Sus scrofa: one gene and its partners. The protein of the gene in region 3 purifies or fractionates together with the protein of the main gene of each other region. This does not show direct contact. Links are inferred from orthologs where the notes say so. Each region holds a gene or a part of one and is shown on either strand. Other genes may lie near its edges. The genes, in order: SNRPB2, SNRPD1 and SF3B3.

The links.
Region 1: the proteins of SF3B3 (region 3) and SNRPB2 purify together in Homo sapiens (affinity purification with mass spectrometry; 4 studies listed by BioGRID and IntAct, with this or other methods). This does not show direct contact. The link is inferred for Sus scrofa from reciprocal best matches to the Homo sapiens genes SF3B3 and SNRPB2.
Region 2: the proteins of SF3B3 (region 3) and SNRPD1 fractionate together in Homo sapiens (co-fractionation; 4 studies listed by BioGRID and IntAct, with this or other methods). This does not show direct contact. The link is inferred for Sus scrofa from reciprocal best matches to the Homo sapiens genes SF3B3 and SNRPD1.

What each region holds. Positions count from the first base shown.
Region 1 is NC_010459.5:25,361,600-25,368,151, reverse strand, and holds the start of SNRPB2 (uncharacterized protein LOC768116), read right to left. Parts: upstream 3,322-6,552; coding exon 3,258-3,321; intron 2,876-3,257; coding exon 2,703-2,875; intron 1-2,702. UniProt on the Homo sapiens protein: Involved in pre-mRNA splicing as component of the spliceosome. Associated with sn-RNP U2, where it contributes to the binding of stem loop IV of U2 snRNA.
Region 2 is NC_010448.4:106,795,366-106,801,917, reverse strand, and holds the start of SNRPD1 (small nuclear ribonucleoprotein Sm D1), read right to left. Parts: upstream 3,718-6,552; 5' UTR 3,574-3,717; coding exon 3,560-3,573; exon of another isoform or gene 3,539-3,559; intron 3,328-3,538; exon of another isoform or gene 3,253-3,327; intron 1-3,252. UniProt on the Homo sapiens protein: Plays a role in pre-mRNA splicing as a core component of the spliceosomal U1, U2, U4 and U5 small nuclear ribonucleoproteins (snRNPs), the building blocks of the spliceosome.
Region 3 is NC_010448.4:13,522,049-13,528,600, reverse strand, and holds the start of SF3B3 (splicing factor 3B subunit 3), read right to left. Parts: upstream 4,083-6,552; 5' UTR 3,774-4,082; intron 3,734-3,773; exon of another isoform or gene 3,712-3,733; intron 2,868-3,711; exon of another isoform or gene 2,834-2,867; intron 644-2,833; 5' UTR 575-643; coding exon 505-574; intron 1-504. UniProt on the Homo sapiens protein: Component of the 17S U2 SnRNP complex of the spliceosome, a large ribonucleoprotein complex that removes introns from transcribed pre-mRNAs.

The DNA of each region.
Region 1 (6,552 bases), on a different chromosome or scaffold from region 3:
CCCAGGAGACAGCTGGCAGTGCTGAAAGGGGGCACAGTGGGTTGTCATGCTAAGAGGGCAGAGGCCAGGGGTGCTCTAGACACCTTACAACCAACAAGGCAGCCCCAGCAACTATTCAGTTCAAATACCCCAAGTATCAGATGCTGAAAAGCCCTGGTCTAGACTAAATCCTGGTATAGGATAAAAGTCCATTCACAACTTAGAGAAGGCGCAAGATTTACATTTATTCCAAAGGTTTCATTACAGAAGCCCTTAGGAAGATGGTTCTGTCTTACTGAGCTACTTTGGAAATTAAATATCCAAATATCCTTGAATCACAGAGCATAATTTTGTTCTGAGTTCCAAGTTATATAAATTTTTGTTCATTTCTAATCTGGTATGTTGAGTTAAAGAGCAACTGAAACCACCTAAGTAAAGACAGCTCAAGGAACATTCTTTTCCTTTTCCAGGATGCTGGCGACTTGGCAGCAACTACTACTTTCCTAAAGGCAGAGAATGGACCTCCTAAAATACCTTCAATATGAGATCAGTCTAATGGGCTTTTTCCATTGATTTTAAAAATTTAGTTGGCAAGGTGAAGCCAGGGCCAAACACAGTGAACAATTTTCAGCTTTCCTGGATCTGAGTCAGTCATGCAACCTTGTCATCCCAACTTAGCAAAACAGACCTAAAAACCTCAAGAGGAAAAAACCGTTCCTTCATTCTAATGTAGTTTTAGATTTTAACTAAAACCCAGTCCTATGCTACCACCAAGTGAGATCTCAAGTATGCTATTTTTTCATACTACTGAGAAAGATAAACTGCTTTCAGGAAATGCCAATTAACCGAAAATCAGGGAACGTGGGTCCTACCTCCCAGTTTTCTGGAATGGGACTTTCTACAAATACGGTGCCCAGTCAGGTGGGAAATGATGGGGAAAGGAGAACTGGATAGAGGGTGAGAAGAAAACTTGCTCCAGTAAAACAGAAAGTTCCCAGGCCTGAATTACACAGTGTGGGATAGAGGTCCTCAGACTAACTGACCACAGCCAGCGCTGCCTGTTTTGCACATGAGGTCTTCTTGGAACATGGCCACACTCATTCACCTACCACCATCTATGGCCATAAAGGCAAAGTTAAGTGGCTGCAAAAGAGATCATCTGGCTCATAAAGCCTAAAATATTTACTATCCGGTCCTTTACAGAGAGCATGCTGAATCCTTGTTTAGGGGAGAAAAAAAAAGTCACAGTACTGAGTGTTAGATTAGCCCTTAAATCTTCATACTACTACTGGTATTATTAACATAAGCTTTCTGTGCCTGATTCTTCATTTGTAAAAATAAAGGGATCAGACCAGTGGTCTAAACTACAAGTTATGGGCCAAATCCAGCCTATAACCTGTTTTTGTATGGTCTATGAGTTAAGAACTTTTTTTTTTAAAGGCCACTCCCGCAGCATATGGAAGGTACCAGGCTAGGGGTCAAATCAGAGCTACAGCCACAGCAACTTGGGATTCGAGCTGCATCTGTGACCCATACTACAGCTCATAGCAATGCCAGATCCCTGACCCACTGAGTGAGGCCAGGGATCGAATCCGCATCCTCATGGATACTAGTCGGATTCGTTTCTGCTGTGCCACGACAGGAATGGCAGAAAACTTTTATTTCTTTTTCATTTTTTACAATTTTAAATGATTGTTTTAAAAAAAACCAACAACACACACTCACAAAAGAATAGGCAGCAGAATCTGTACATGGCCCACAAAGCCTAAAATATTTATTACTGGTCCTTTATAGAATTTTTGTTCACCTATGAATAAGAGCAAAGAATATCCAATCTGCTTACATTTTACAGGTGGTGAACGTGTGCACAGAACCAGTTAACAGCAGAACCAGAATGAGAACATGGGTCCTTGAAACTGCAGGACTTGGCTCTTTCCCCAACATCCCTACCCATCACATTCCAATTCCAGTAGAAAAGCACTTGGGAATCCATACCCAGGGTCCTCTGTACGCATTCACAAAGGTAAAACCCTTTGCTACATGCACTGTTCCAACCTAATCCAACCCTCTACCAACTTTGACTTATACCAACGCCTCCTGAGTTCTCTAGTTCCCTTCAATCCCTACCACCATCCAATCTTCACCCAGCAGCTAAATGTGAAATCTCATTATATCACTCCTGAGTTTAAAACTTTCCATATATAACTACTTCATTTCCATTCATTGTCACCCATTAATAAAACCTATGACTTTAAGTCTATGAAGTGTCTTTAGATCACTGCTTTATCTAGATTGCACAGCTTCTGATATACAGTATTTAATTATGGTATTTTCTGAAACTTCAGACTGGATTTCTCTTTGACCTACAATTTTGTTTGTGTTTTACGAGTTTACGAACAGAGGTTTCTTTTTAATCTTCTGAGTAATTATTAATTTCTAGATCTTTTGAGAGGACAGTATTGCCTATACTAACACTGCTTTTAAAATATTCTACATCTCAATGTATTTTGCTTTTGGCTATTTGAACTATCATAAATTAAGTGGTGACTTATAAGCTCTTCTACTACTGTGTTCCTATAAAAATAAATACATAAATAAAATAAGCCCTAACCCACTCTAACATGTAGTTAAAAGCAAAAAACAAGCCATATTTTCAGGGGTGTATTTACAAATCTACCATTTCATTAATAGTGAACAAAGCCAAAATAGTAAGATTGATTTACCATCGGTTTGCCATAAAATGGAAATCCTTGTAACTGTCTCAAGGCATTTGTGGATGAACCCAGTTCCTTAAATATAACAAAGGCTTGCCCCCTCATCTTCATGGTCTTTAAAGCCACAATATCTACCACATGGCCAAACTGAGAAAACAGGGCATACAGGGATCTCTTCAATTCTGCACAAAATTAGAGAGAAACCAGTTATTTGTCAATGAAATGATGACAAGATTCTTCATAAAATGACACTGCACGCACCCCTGCCATTCCCTTATTTATTTATACAAAGTTACATTTTTTAATAAAAATATCATACTATTCACATTGGCTGTCTAATTTTACAAGTTTTTAAAATCATTTGATCTATGAGTGAAAACAAATTCCACACATTTTCAGCCCCCTACTTTTTATCTTTAAAAAGCCTTAAAATCCCCATGCATTAAGGGATAAACCATTATTTCAGGCACTGAGAAAGAGGACTAGATGAGAACTTTTGAAGCAGTTTAATTTTTAAGATGGTGTAAGTAAACACACTTTAGTTACTTTTTAAAAAGCACTTACCTTCTTTTTTAATTTTGTCGTTCATATTGTTGATATAAATTGTATGATTTGGTCTGATATCCATGTTTTGAGTTAAACTGTTCAAACAGCCTAAAGAGATGGTAAATATTCTGTTATAAACAGGGAGAATTCATTGCGTGGTGGTGTGGAATTAAGGACACAAGGTTAACTTTGCAATCTTTTCAATTCCAAATGTCAGAAAATATCAGTTTGGCAACAGTCTAAAACTTCTCCAGAACTTACTAGCCTTTCTCTTGAAATAAAACAAGAACAGTTCTCAGGCTGAAAACTTGGTGGGGCACTATTACCTAGTCAGATTTTAATAATATTCTTTTATTCCACACATTTATTTTTATACTTATCTTTCACTTACAAGTGATACTGTTTTTCCACCTGTTTTTCATTAGTGAAATAATTTTAAAACTTTGTTAAAAAGGAAAAGTAGATTTGAAGAAAAATGAAAAAAGAACTAGCAAATGTACGTCCAGTAAAAATCAAGACGGAACAATAATGAAATTTGCTAAGAACTATTTCACGGGCACTTTCATATTTACTACTTAATTTATATACACCATCACCAACAGTCTTGCCTTGCCTCCAAAGTCACCTGTAACCGACCTGAAATACCAGAGCGGTTGCAAGATGGTTGAGAGCTCAGAATCTAGAGCCAGCCAGATCTGAATTCACGTATGTCTATGCTTCCTACTACCTGCTTGACTGAGGACAAATTACTTAATCTCCCAGGTCCACTCTGAAAAAATGAGATGGGAACAGAATCTACCCAGTAGAGTTTATTTATCTAAATGAGATAAAGTTCTAGCAACACGTTATTAATTTCTATCACAAGCTAATACCTACTTTGTATACATGTAGTCACACAGCTGATTAAACCAGAGATCTGAGAATTCAACCCTTGCTTTCTGTCTCTTGTACTTTTCTTTCACACCCACCACACTATTATTTACAGTTTCAGTTGCAAATTTTGACCTTTATTTTCTTATTGCCCCAGATATTCCTTCATTTCATGAATATTTACACCCACGGTATGTGAACAGCCTAGGTCGACTGACAAGAGCATACAGATGGGGACTGTACTCGTACGTTAACAGGTGAAAGGTAACGGTTCTCAGAGACTTGCGAACCCCTAAACTGACACTGGAAGTCTGGGGCCGCGAAGAAAGCCGGAAGACTAGAGGAGAGGCTCTCGTATTATCTCACGCGATGTTTTACGGAAAGTAGGACTAGCGCCGGGGCACCGGGGTCGCCTCCCTGATCCAAAAGTAAGCCTCCGGCAGGCACCTGAAAATCCAAAGCGAGCCGTAAGGCCCTCACAGCAACCAAGGGACACCAGTTATCCATAACTTCATATGCGCGAGCCTCTCGCCTTTCCAGACCGAGTCACATTCGCCCACGGCCCAGGCCTGAAGCCCCAAGAAGCCGCCACGCGATCTCCGGCCCCGACCCATCCCGCTAAGAGACAAGGTTCCGAAGTCCGGGGACCTCGTCGGACCCGCGCATCAGTTTCCATCCCCCCTCGACCCCTCGGCGACCCTCCCCGAACTCCCGACAGCCAACCATTCAGCCCCAGCACCGCGTTTCGTCCATCCCCTGCTCCAGCAGGGGAGCGTGGTGCCAAGAGGAATCCGCAAGCCCGAAAACGAAGAAAGCGAGGAAGAAAGAGCCTCAACTCACCCCAGACGGTCGCCGCGTCCAGTGCAACCAGGAAACTGGAAGCCGGAAGTGGGGCCGGGCGCCGGAAGTAACACTGCCAAGCGCCTCAATCGAGTACCGACAAATCAAGAAGTCGAGCCCGGAGTGGATCGATAAGCCACAGTCTCCAAGGCGGCAGTTGAGAATCCTTCCGCGCACACGCACGTCTCTCTGGCTGGAAGAAGAGGTGAGAGGGGATGTGGGAGAAGCGAAAGAGGCTTGTGAGGAATGCTGTGGGATTAAACTGGAATCGTGGGACCGCTGAGAAAGGGAACAGCGAAAGGCAGTGATTCATTTACCCATGAGTTTGCGTTGGTCTATCCCATACAACAGGTGCCTTCTGTCTTTCCAAATGCTTTACAGATCTTTACATATAGTTACGTCCTGACAAGCCCATCTGTAAATTGAAAACTTTGTAAGACGCAAATGCACTTAATACGCTTAACTTGCCATACATCACAACTTATTAGCCCAGCCTACCTGAAGTGCTCAGAACCCTCACATTAACCTACAGTTGCACAAAATCATCTCGTGTAACTCAGTGAATATTGTACTGAAAGTGCAAAACACAGTGGTAGTGTGGCTCACCCTTGTGGTCCCATAGTGGCTGGGAGCTTTGGCTTGCTGTCCAGCATCAGGACACTGTGTCTACCGCATATCAAAAGCCTAGAAAAAGATCAAAATTCAAAATTTAAAGTCTGGTTTTCATTGAATGCTTATCACTTTTGCACCTTTGTAAAGTCAAACAATCTTAAGTCGAACCGTCATAAGTCAGGGACCCTTTGAATAGTTTTACAAGTGCAGCACCTATTGTCCACTGCAGGGGAAAGTGCCCTGATTTCCCTTCTCCAGAGGGCTGCCTCCACCTCCAGGTGGCTGCCCCCACCTTCAGGCAGCCGGTACCCTCCACCCACCCAAGTCTCTTCCAATTCTTGAGACTCTGAGGGAACTCTTCTCCAACATTCTACTGAAGAGCTTAAATCCCAGAAGCAGCTAATCTGTGTTCCCACGTTGGAGGGAATTGATGTCTCTGTCCAGCTGTCTCACCTGATAAAGCAGTTACCTCCAGTAATAGCTAAACACTGATACAATCATCTTCCTAAACTCATTGAAAAAAGCATCACTTCCCTACCACCCTTCCCACCTTCTCTCCCCACAAAATGAGTAGATTGTTCTAGTAATCAAGTTGTTGGTGATTAAGGCAAGCTGAAGGAGAATTCCAAAAAGTATGTGTGTTCATTCATCCACTTATCAAATGTGTGTAAAGCATCATCTGGAATATGAAATGGTTGTTGAGAACCAAGAAAAAATGAATCCTGTATCTTCTCCTTAACTAATCCCTCTGACCCTCACTGTCCTCATCTGTAAACTAGGGATCATAATGCAACTTCCTTCTGTGATATTAAGTGAGTTTAAAAATGTAAAACAGTCAGCACATTGCCAGACACAAAATAAATGGTTCATAATTTTTTTTTCTTTTTACGACTGCACCTGCAGCATATGGAAGTTCCCTGGGCCAGGGGTTGAATCAGAGCTGCAGCTGTGGCCTACACCACAGCCACAGCAACACCAGATCTGAGCTGCA
Region 2 (6,552 bases), about 93 Mb from region 3:
TCTTTCTTTTTTGGCCACCCCCATGGCATATGGTAGGTTCCCAGGCCAGGGATGGATTCCAAGCCGAAGCTGCAACCTATGCAGCAGCAGCATGTGGAAGTTCTCAGGCTAGGGGTCAAATCGGAGCTGTAGCCAATGGCCTATGCCACAACCACAGCAATGCAGAATCTGAGCCGCATCTGCAACCTACACCACAGCTCACTGCAACACTGGATTCTTTTTACCCACTGCACTGCTCAGGGGATCAAACCTGTGCCTCAGCAGAGACCTCGGGCCACCTCAGAGACAACACAGGAGGTGTTGACCCTATGTGCTACAGTGGGAACTCCTAAATTATTTTCTGATGAATCCTTCACTATCTGAATTTTTTCTACTCACTGAAATTTAGATATTCAGGTAATACTCAGATAATAGGACAAAATGGTATCCTTCAGTATCCAAAGCCACATTATTTAAAAATTCAAAAATCAGGAGTTCTTGTCATGGCCCAGTGGTAACAAATCCAACTAGTATCTACTACAGGTTCAATCCCTGGCCTCATTCAGTGGGTTAAGGATCCAGCGTTGCCGTATAGATCACAGACAAAGCTTGGATTCCAGTCGCTGTGGCTGGAATTCAGATACGTCCCATAGCCTGGGAACTTCCGTATGTCATGGATGCAGTCCTAAAAAGACCAAAAAAAAATTTTTTTAATATAAATAAAAAACAAAAATTAAAAAATCAAGATAACAGGATAGTGAGATACTTTATTAAACAGGTTAAAAACACCAAAACCTGGCAATTTATCACATTATCAGGATTACTGAGAGAGCTAAGTCAAGGAGTTCCCCTCACGGCTTAGCGGTTAGTGAACCCAACTAGCATCGCTGGCCTTGCTGTAGGTTAAGGATCTGGCGTTGCCATGAGCTGTGGTATAGGTCACAGACGCAGCTCAGATCCTATGTTGCTGTGGCTGTGGAACAGGCCATTGGCTATAGCTCAGACTGGATCCCTAGCAAACTAGTTATACAAAACCCATTTTCCCAGTGCAAAATACATTCTCCAATTATTAGGAATTTTGCTTCTATAGTCTAAGACACAGAATAGGATTCAGTACAGCATTAATATTTATAGGAGGAGTTCCTGTCGTGGTGCAGTGGTTAACGAACACGACTAGGAACCATGAGGTTTCGGGTTCAATCTCTGGCCTCACTCAGTGGATTAAGGATCTGGTGTTGCCATAAGCTGTGGTGTAGATCACAGATGCGGCTTGGATCCCAAGTTGCTGTGGCTCTGTCGTAGGCCGGTGGCTACATCTATGATTAGACTTGGGAACCTCCATATGCCGAAGGTGCGGCCCCAGAAAAGACCAAAAAAAAAAAAAAAAAAAAAAAAAAATTTTATAGGAAAATTCTGTCACAACATGGACTATCGTTAAGTGGGACAAAAGACTCCAAAGAGTATTATCTATACTAAGACTCTGACTGGCAAGTATTCAGACATTAAGAAAATAAACTTTAGGAGTTCCTGTCGGGATACAGCTACAATGAATCCGACTAGGAACCATGAGGTTGTAGGTTCAATCCCTGGCCTCGATCAGTGTGTTAAGGATCTGGCGTTGCCATGAGCTGTGGTGTGGACTGCAGACATGGCTGGATCTGGCGTTGCTGTGGCTGTGGCGTAGGCTGGCATCTGTTGCTCTGATTAGACCCCTAACCTGGGAACTTCCATATGCCGTGGATGTGACCCTAAAAAAAAGAAAAAAAAATAAACTTTAAGTTCTGAGATGTTTACCTTCAAAGTTATACCTCAAATAAAATGGACAAAGTCTTTCAGTTATAAGTAAGAACTAGAAATGTAATATGCAATATGATAAATGTAATCAATACTGCTGTATGTTATATATTAAAGTTGTTGAGAGTAAATCATGAGTTCTCATCAGAAGAAAAAAAATTTTTTTGTCTATTTCTTTAATTTTATATCTACATGAGATGATGGATGTTCACTACACTCTTTATGATGTACGTAAATCAAATCATTATGCTGTGGGAGTTCCCTCGTGGTGCAGCTGGTCAATAAAGAAAGAATCCAGTGTTGTCATTGCAGCCTTGGGTTGCTGCTATGGCACAGGTTCGATACCTGGCCTGGGAACTTCCACATGCCTTTGGCACGGCCAAAAAAAATCATTATGTTATATACCTTAAAGTTACACAATGCTGAAAGCCAGTTACATCTCAATAAAACTGGAAGGGAAAAAAATAGACAAAAAGTCAATCTTAAATGCCTTCTCTACAAACACCAGCCTGAATATGACAATGAGGATTCTTTATGTTATCTCAAACTATCTTCTTGTCTATCTTCTCTGCAAAACGAACGCTACTACAACATAGGACTCTTTAAGGGGGGGGTGGGCTACTGCTGTAGCACAACTGGGATTCTTGGCGTCTCTGGAGCACTGGGATGCAGGTTCGATCCCCAGTTCAATCCCCACCGGCACAGTCCAGCATTGCTGCAGTTGCCGAGTAGGTTGCAAATGCAGCTAGGATGTGTTCCCTGGTCCAAGAACTCCATGTGCTTAACTATTTGGTCGACATTGACAATTCTTGACTCAACAGACAATAAACTAGTTAAGCTAGTTTATAACTGCCGGCTGAGTTGTAAAAGCCTCTGCTTCTATGTTCCAGGCTCTCAGCCTCAAGGAGAAACATCAGAACTCAATCTATTTGCAGGTAGTTTTTGTGATGAATTAGCTCAACCAGTAAACGAGTCTTCAGCAGGCTCAACTAATCGACCAAATTTAAATACAGAAATAAACAGAATAAATCTCGATTATCTGTGTAATCAGCCAAAAAGTACGGAAGAGTGATTCTACCCCATATTGAGAGGTTTTTTCCTAAATCAAAGGGCTATTTTAAAGGGAAATGTAAGTTGAATAATCTTAAGGCTAGGGAATAACAACAAGAGGGAAAAAAAACACTATTAAAAAAAAAAAAAACCTCAGGAAATCAGAAGTCCATCCCTGATCCCTGATTTAAAATACTTCGGAATTGGATTTCATTATCTCCAGATAAACCCCTGCAGCTTCTAAGTACTCTTTTAAGTGTGACGGTAGTTTCATTAAAAAATATGCATTAATTTAAACTACTTGTGCAGGATGTACAATTTTTATGTCTCCCACGTTCTCAGGAAGCGTGGACCTAGTTAAATTTGCCGGTTCCTGAGTGCTGAGACGAGCCAGAAACGTTCTAACAGAAACGGAAGTCTGTAACTCACCGAAAGTAAGAGCTTGTAAGCCTGGCTCTGTACTTTTAAGGCCTCTAAGACACCTGATGGGAAAACACCGCCCGGCCTTCAACCTCTCGGAAGACCCGCAGATCCCTGGGCGACCCAGTCTGAAGCCTGGTCGAGTGCCCGCGGCGACGCGACCAAGATGGGGCGGGAGCGGCGGGCGCCGAAGGCCGTTAGCAGGCCGCGCGCGCACGCGGCTTTCGCGCCTCCTGCATCTCGGGCAGCTCAACCCCCCCGCTCCCGGTCCAGGACATCCCCTCATAGTACCCACCCTGCTCGGTCACCTCCTCACCTCACGAGCTTCATCCTCTCGGTCCGATAGTACACAAAACCCCACCGCAGAGGCCGACCCGCAGGGAGAATGAATGACCGGAAACGCTTACTCCCGGGGATCGACGTAAAGAGCGCGCGGATCCCTGCGCACTCACGGCGGAAACGCCGAGGCTGCGCTTGGGCCACTCTCCCTTCCGGCCGCGAGTAGCGCCAGTGCGGCCTCTGGCGGCAGGAGGTGTGCCTTGCAACTGTTAAGGGCGTTTAGGGCCGATCCAGGAGGAAACTTCCTGTAAGAGAGAGTATTTCAGGAAATTAAATCCTATTAGCGAGCATAACAAGGCTCCGGGTATTATGTAGCACCAAATTTTCTCGTGAATGAAAGGAAATAATTGGAGAATCCCAAAGGATTATGCTCCACCACCAGGTATCTCAGCGTTACTTAATGTGCTGAAGAAAATCATACAATTTAACTGATTATTTTCACTTTAAATTCTGGTCACAAACCTCAAAAGTGTCCCTTGCACTGCCCAGAGATCGTTATGCTTCTCTAATAAGCTCACAAAGTATTTCATACCTTCTTTCTTCTCTTTATCTCAAACCTTTTACAGTTCTTCTCCCAAATCACTCTCTAACGTATCCTACTTTTAGAAAACAGAAGCCATCCTTCTGCTTCCCTTTCTGTGACAACGATAGAAGTATTATTGCTCCTTTGGAAAGCAAATTCCTCTTGGTTGTAGTCTGGATCCCATCTCATTTCCTCAAGAATTTCACTCCTTCAATGATCCCCTTCTAATTTGAATCATCAATTCCTCCTTCTCTACTGATTTTTTCTATCAACATATAAATTTATCTAAAAAACAAACAAGCAACGAGTTCCCACTGTGGCGCAACAGGATTGGGCAGCATCTCTGCAGCTCCAGGACGCGGGTTTGATGTCCAGCCCTGCATTGCTACAGCTGGCTGTAGTGTGGGTTCCAACTGTAGGTTGGATCTGATTCCTGGTCTGGGAACTCCATATGCCTCGGAGATGGCCAAAAATGGAAAAAGAAAAAAAGGAAAGGAAGAAAGAAAAAATTTTGTAGTGCCAGTTGTGGGAACTCGGCAGGGTAAGAACCTGACTAGTATTCATGAGGATGTGGGATCTATCCCTGGCCTCATTCAGTGGGTTACGGCTCCAGTGTTGCCACAAGCTGCAGCGTAGTTCACAGATGCAGCTCAGATCCAGTGTTGCCGTAGCTGTAGTGTAGGCCTCAGCTGCAGCTCTGATTCAAGCTTCCATTTGCTGCAGGTGAGGTCTTAAAAAAAAAAAATTCTCCTCTCATGCAGCTCTAGCTCCCACCAGATTTCTTCCACAGAAAACCTCCTTAAATGAGCTGTCTATAACTTGTTTTTATTGCCTTGTAATTCGATCTTCAAATACACTGAGATTGCTTTTCTAATGGTGATCAAAAACCCAATACAAACTTCTGTCTTCCTCTTACTCAGCATCTCAGCAGCATTCAAAACAGACACTCTCCTTTGAAACATGCTCCTTTCTTGGCTTCCAGGATGCCAAGTATGCCTGGTTTTAATTCAATCTCACTAATGACTCTTTCTAGGTCTCCTTAGGCTGCCTCATTGTCTCCTGAGCCATTACATGCTGGAGTGCTTCTTGGCTTACCCTCAGCGTAGTCTCTTCATGGATACTTTCTCCTTTAGCCTAGGTGATCTCCCAAACCACAGCTTTAATATGTATCTCAGGACTTCATCCCTGGTCATCAGAATTCTTGAATGTTGTGAGGCAATGCTCATCAAACATTAATGTGCATAAAAAAAAATGGAGTTCCCGTCGTGGTGCAGTGGTTAACGAATCCGACTAGGAACCATGAGGTTTCGGGTTCGATCCCTGCCCTTGCTCAGTGGGTTAACGATCCGGCGTTGCCCTGAGCTGTGGTGTAGGTCGCAGACGTGGCTCGGATCCTGCGTTGCTGTGGCTCTGGAGTAGGCTGGCAGCTACAGCTCTGATTCGACCCCTAGCCTGGAAACCTCCATGTGCCTCGGAAGCGGCTCAAGAAATGGCTAAAAGACAAAAAAAAAAAAAAAAAAAAAAAATTAATGTGCATAAGACTCACCTGGAGGAAACTTTAGAATGAAAATTATGATTCCATTGGTATGGGATCTGAAATTCTGCATTTCTAACAAAACTTCAGTTGATGAAGATGAACTGAATCCCTAGACCATGAATCTCCATTTGGGTAGTAAGCAATTAATGTACATATGTGTGCTGCTTTCTTAATACCTATTCCCCTGTCTTTCCAACAGTTTCTAAGAATCTCCTAGAGATCCATGTGGTCATATGGGAGCTGACTCTACTCTTATGTCAATCACCACATTCCATTACTTGTCCACAGTGGGCATGGGATGTAGCCTGATCCAATCAGTCACTGTAGAGAACTCTGCTTTTGGAGGTGAATGGAGAGATAGAGCTATTGGGAACTTTTTTGTTTTGTTTTGTTTTGTTTTTGTCTTTTTGCCGTTTCTTGGGCTGCTTCCACGACATATGGAGGTTCCCAGGCTAGGGGTCTAATTGGAGCTGTAGCTGCCAACCTACGCCAAAGCCACAGCAACGCAGGATCCGAGCCACGTCTGCGACCTACACCACAGCTCACGGCAACGCCGGATCGTTAACCCACTGAGCAAGGGCAGGGACCGAACCCGCAACCTTATGGTTCCTAGTCGGATTCTTTAACCACTGTGCCACGATGGGAACTCCTCCTTTCTACCTTAAAACTTTCTTACATGCTCTTACCTCCATGTAGCTAGTCTCCCCCCTTCCCTACCTCCAACCTGACTTCTTTAGGTATCTCACATTAGAAACCCTCTGGCTTCTAGCCTCCGCTTCCTGTTGTTTTATGAAATGTTATATGTTTGCTGTTTTTTCACAAAATTCTTAGCAGCAGAATTACAAACGTATATGCTGTTTATAGAATAGATATTTTCCTCTTTAGAATAGAAATTCTTTGAGGGACAGTC
Region 3 (6,552 bases):
TCAGCATAATTAAGTTGTCTGTAATACATATGTTTAACTTCATAAAATTAAAAACTTTCAAAGGCACCTTCTAGCCCACCTTTAAGGTAACTGCTCTAAGAAATCATATTAACTCTGATAAAGTGTCTCAAAGAACTTTTAAAACTGCCGCACCAAAAAAAGAAAAAAAAAGGCAATTTGAGGCAAAACTACTAATATCAAAAATTTTAGGAGTTCCCATCGTGGCGCAGTGGTTAACGAATCCGACTAGGAACCATGAGGTTGCGGGTTCGGTCCCTGCCCTTGCTCAGTGGGTTAACGATCCGGCGTTGCCGTGAGCTGTGGTGTAGGTCGCAGGCGCGGCTTGGATCCCGCGTTGCTGTGGCTCTGGCATAGGCCGGTGGCTACAGCTCCAATTCGACCCCTAGCCTGGGAACCTCCATATGCCGCGGGAGCGGCCCAAAGAAATAGCAAAAGACAAAAAAAAAAAAAAAAATTTTAAACTCAGATAGTAGCAGAACTTACCAGAGAAGTTTCCATGAATGGCAAAGCTGATGCCAGTGGCTCGCTGCAAGGTCAAGTTGTACAGGAACATGGTGGCAGTAATACTGAGCCACCTATAGCTCCACAATCCAGGCCTTGATTATAACCAAGTCCAAGCAAGCTAAAAGCACATAAAAGCAGAAAAATACCAGCTTTGAAATTATTTTAACAGACATTTCCGTATGGGAACTTCTAGGTGAAGACAGCGTAACTAATAAAGTAAGACATACAACATTACTTATAATTAAGAGTACCTTCTACTTCATTTTCACTGCAGCAGCTTGGGTCACTGCTGTGGCAAGTGTTTGATCCCTGGTCTGGGAACTTCCACAAGACGCAGGTGTGGTCAAAAAAAAAAAAAAACAAAAAACAGAGTGCCTTCTACATGTCAGGCACTATGCTTCATACTGTTTCTTTTTTTAAAAAAATTTTTATTATAGTTGATTTACAATGTTCCATCAATCATACTGTTTCTAATCTCACAAGACACATATAAAGTATTCATTATACTAATTTTACAGATGAAATTGAGCTGAAAAAGTACACCGTAAATCAACTATTCTTTAATTAAAAAAAAAAAAGAAATTAAATTGTCTCCTTGAGATTACATAAGTAGTAAAAACAGGAGTGCCCGTCGTGGCTCAGTGGTTCACGAATCTGACTAGGAACCATGAGGTTTCAGGTTCGATCCCTCGCCTCGCTCAGTGGGTTTAAGGATCCGGCGCTGCTGTGAGCTGTGGTATAGGTCGAAGAGGCGGCTCAGATCTGGCGTTGGCCAGCAGCTGTAGCTCCAATTCGACCCCTAGCCTGGTAACCTCCATATGCCACGGGTGCTGCTCTAAAAAGACAAAAAAAAAAAAAAAAAAAAAAAAAGAAGAAGTAGTAGTAGTAAAAACATTGGGAGCTGGAATCTGTACCATTAATCCAACACCATTTGATTTTACTGTCTCAAAACCACATAGATCTATATTTACTTGTATTTGAATAGGCTCTACTTTCACGTGGTTCAGAATTCAAAAGCACAGCAAAAAGCTCACTCCACCCATGCCCTAGCCATCCAGTTTTTCCTCCCTGGACGAATCAATTTCACCAAGTTATACCGTGTCCTTACAGATATTTTCTGTATGTACAAAAAAAAAACATACATTAACGCTGTATTTTATCCCTTCTATTTAACTAAAGGTTGGGTACCATAAATCATACACTCACATTATGGTGCAACTGTTTTTAATTACTTTACCTATCTTGGACATAGCAGTAAGCAAAATGTTTTCTCATTTTTATATTAAGGCTGTGGAGTATTCCACTGAATGCATCTATTAGGATTTATTTAGCCAACACTCTCCTGAGGAACATTTAGGTTCTTCCCGATCTCTTGCAATTATAAACACTGCTACAAAGAAAATCACTCATATACAGACCATTTATAAGTGCATTAACAGTATCTCTAAGATTAACTGCTAGAAATCCAATTTCAGGATTGAGGACCTCATATATTTGAAATTCAGAGACAGTGTCAAATTACCTTCCAAAGAAGCTCTACCAATATATCTCCAGCAATATATGGGTCTCTATAATTCTCCACAACCAGACCTCTGCTGATTTAACAGATAAAAACTGGTAACTTGGGAGTTTCCATCGTGGCTCAGTGGTTAATGAATCCAACTAGGAACCATGAGGTTTCGGGTTCTGATCCCTGGCCTTGCTCAGTGGGTTAAGGATCCAGAGTTGCTGTGGAGCTGTGGTGCAGGCCACAGAAATGGCTCCAATTAGATCCCCTAGCCTGGGAACCTCCATATGCTGCTTGGGTGCAGCCCTAAAAAGCAAAACAAACAAACAAAAAACTGGTAACTTAAGTGTAGTTTTCATTTGCATCTCCTATACAGCTCTATATTTAAGGAGTGACTAAAATTTAGAATTTAAACTTATGTATCATCAAAAACTAAAAACCGAAATGCGACCCCAGAATGAAGCCTCCACAAAAGAATATACAAAGAAAAGGATTCTTCTTAGGACTCAAGACTGCAAACTGAGGTATCTTCACCATAAAAGTACCTATACATTTACCACTGGAAAATAAACTGAACTATTTTCCCTCAATTATTCAGAGACAAAAGCAAAGAATCTCGAGAAGTTCAAAGCTTACAATTGTATCTGTAATTAGCATGCAAATTTGGTTTTGTTAAATGAGAAAAGTTGAATGGAGTCTCAGACATAATTTATTCTCTTGCATCTCACTCCAGTTATAAAATTTCAAACATAATTTCAAACTTGCAGTTATCAAGAACAAAATTTACAACGAAACCCCTACCTTGTTGTGAATGTGATCTATATTGTAGGGTTGACTGTATGAAAGATACAGAATCTTTCAGAAAACAAACATAGGAAACCAAAGACCACTTCGGAAGCTTGGAAAACCTTCTCCTAGGCTACTTTTCGCCCTTTATAACTTACTGAAAAACTCAGCCTACTTTCTAGTTCCTTTACAACTAACAGCATCTAGTACAAACTTTGGAATTTATTTTCCCAAAACCTAGCTGGACCCAGGTTCCCCAACTATTCTTTTATCTTGGGTAACAAGGGAAATTGCATTTCAGAGGAAGATCAACCAAGCACTACATACCGGAAACTAGTAACGACCAAAACTTGGTAAATTTTGATTTCCCCCAATTCTACCTGCTGTCTATGAATATTAGGAAATGAGCCTGTGATTGCTCCTCCACCCCTTCTCCATGTACGAGAAGAACATCACCGCATTTAAACTCTGCAAAGTCTTCAAGATAGATATAATTATCCCCATTTTTGCAAGCGATAAACTGAGGATCAAAGAAGGAAATGAGTTGCCCAAGCACCAAAGCACAAATACAAAGGGTCTAGATTTCAAAGACTGTTTCCGTCCTTGACACTTTTAACACCCTTGATCTTTCACCTCCCCGTCGGTGTGCCGTTTACTTTCTCCAGTGGAAAACGTCTCTCCCGCCCCTTCTTACATCTCCCCCAAAGCCTAAAAGCTACGCAGTCTCTAGAAAGCTTATTTTGAGCTAGGCTTAGTTCCCACAGTGCGAACGGTCGCGAAACACAAGTTCGTGAAGCTGCCCTCCTGCGTTCCCCTCCATCACCTCCTAGACGCTTGCCCATAGTCCTCGGGCCTAAACTCTCTCAGAAACCCTTACAAAAGGCTCGGCCCACCCTTCTACATGGCCGCTCTCCACCTCTTCAGGCCTAGGGAGGTCAGAAAGCTGCTTCTTTACCCTGAAGCCAGGAGGATGGCGCAGATATCCAACAGATCCTCAGTCCCCTCAAGGCCTAATCCGCCGCTAAGCCCAAGCCGCCGGCATCCGCCATTAGCTCCTAAAACAGGGACCTTCCGATTGGCGCGCGACGGAAAAAAGGTCCTCAACCGGCGCCTGAAGAATGTACATATAAATCTCTTTAATGCTTCAGTCTTGCTTCCACGCCGCACGAAAAATTACTTAAACATATTTTTATGACTGTCACTTTTCCCAGGAAAATAGGGAATTAATAGACCTTTTTAAGTAGGCTTTTAAAAACATATATACAAATTCACTAGGCACTCCCGTGGGCAGCCCCAAGGACGTGGCGCGCCTACGAGGAGGGGGCCTCCCAGGGCCGGAAGCGCGGAATGGGAATCAAGATGGCGGACCTCGATTCTCCTCAGAAGCTGTCAGGGGTGCCTCCGCCGCCTGAAGGCGTGGGAGGAGGCCGCTGCTCGGAAATCTCCACAGAGCTCATTCGCTCTCTGACTGAGCTTCAGGAGCTGGAGGCTGTGTACGAACGGCTCTGCGGCGAGGAGGTGGGGGGCTGAGCTTCTCTTTCCAGGAGGATACAGGGGCAGTGGGCCTAGGAGCCGTCATTCTTGGGAAATCAGGGCTGTGGGAAGTTCTTTTCTTTACGAGGAAACAAAAAAAGCATCTACTCGAGAAGCAGGAGTGTGGTTGAATGTAATTGGGGCGATCCGACATCTCCGTCTGATGCCCCCAAGCATATTTTCGTGTTGTCTGGGCGATCTGCCCCGCCCCCTGTTGATTTCCCTGGCCCTTAATCATTAGATTTCTCCGCGGTCCTAAAGTTAGACTTAAGGGCATCTCCTCACACGCTTGCTTTTCATAATAAGAATAAAGGCTTTGTTGTAAGGGCTTATAAATTTTAAAGTGATGAAACGCTTTCACCTTACCTCATTTCAGCAAGAAATCATTGTAAATAAACAAAGCGTTTTAAGACTTTCTACTGTGGGAAATGATTTGGGGGTGTAATTTTAGCGTTTCAGTTCAATGCAGGGCTTTGTAGAATCTTGAGATGTTAAAACTCAGAAACAACTGTCTAATCGTGAATAAGTTATTTCAGTTCTTGTAGCTACCCCTGCATAGCGTCAAACCAGGGGCACTGGCTATATTATGTCCAGCAGCCTTCCTCACTTTTCCATGAAACTTAATGCTGTCAGTACTTTTTTTTTTTTTTTTTTTACTTTTTCGGGCTGAACCCGCGGCATATGGAAGTTCCCAGGCTAGGGGTGGAATCGGAGCTGTAGCTGCTGCCTATGCCACACCACAGCAATGCTAGATCCAAGCGGTGTCTGTGACCTACACCACAGGTCACTGGCACTGCTGGATCCTTAACCCACTGTTTGAGTTCGGGGATCAAACCCGCATCCTCATGGATGCTAGTCAGGTTTGTTAACTGCTGAGCCACAACAGGATCTCCCGTCAGTACTTTTTTTTTTTTTTTTGCTACACCCACTCTATGTAGAAGTTCCCAGGCCAAGGGTCAAATCCCCTCACAGCAGCAACCCAAACCACTGCAGTGACAACACCAGATCCTTAACCCACTGAGGGAGGCCAGGGATGGAACCTGCATCCTCATGGATCCTAGTCAGATTCATTTCCACTGAGCCACGGCGGGAACTCTCTTTGAGAGTTTTCAAGTATTAATTTATACCAATGCCGATAGACTTTTCAGCAAGATGTACTTTATAAAATTCAATACTCTTAACATTCCTAAGCTTGCATTCATTGAATCGGTCAGTATGTTAGGAAAAAAATTAAGTTGATCTTACAGACAGAACAATATTAGTTTTGGTTTTTGTTTGTTTTTCCCTTTTTTAGGGCTACAGCCGCAGCATATGGAAATTCCCAGGCTAGGGGTCAAATCAGAGCTGTAGCCACCAGCCTACGCCACAGCTCACAGCAACACCAGATCCTTAACCCAGTGAATGAAGCCAGGGATCAAACCTGGGTCCCCATGGTTACTAGTCAGATTTGTTTCTGCTGAACCATGACAGGAACTCCCTATCCTTTATATTTTAAATGCCTTCCTGTGTGAGGCATTTTGCCAATGAAATTGAATAAAGGTTTCTTTTCTCCCTCCGTGGTGTTCATCTCCTAGATGGAATAAGATACACATAAGGTAACATTATTTAATTTGATAAGTGCAAAAATGAAGTATTGTTTGTTAAAGTTCTATAGGAGTTTAGTGAAAGGAAAGAAGACATTTGAAGTGGGATTTACCCTTTAGCTAAGTGGTTGGATTAGATAATGCTTAGGGTTCCTTTTGACCATGCTAACAAAAGAATGTTTCTCTGTCTTTCAGAAAGTGGTGGAGAGAGAGCTGGATGCTCTCTTGGAACAGCAAAACACCATTGAAAGTAAAATGGTCACTCTCCACCGGATGGGGTGAGTCTACATATCAGGACAAGCTATTTAAATTCTATTAGGGACTTCTCTATGGCACAGCGAGTTAAGGTCTGGTATTGTCACTGCTGTGGCACAACTCAATCCCTGGCCTAGGAACTTCCATGTGCCATGGGGCCAAAAAATAAATAAATAAAATTTTTAAGTAAATAAATTCCATCAGGAGCCGTTGGATGTTATTATTTTTCCTTTCTGTTTTACCATGCAAGTTGAGTTTGAATTGTAAAGGAGATTTACCTCCAAGTAAAGTGAATACTTAAGAGTGTAGTCAAATTGTTCTCAAAGTGGTTTTGGACCAGCAAGTATTAACATCATTTGGGGA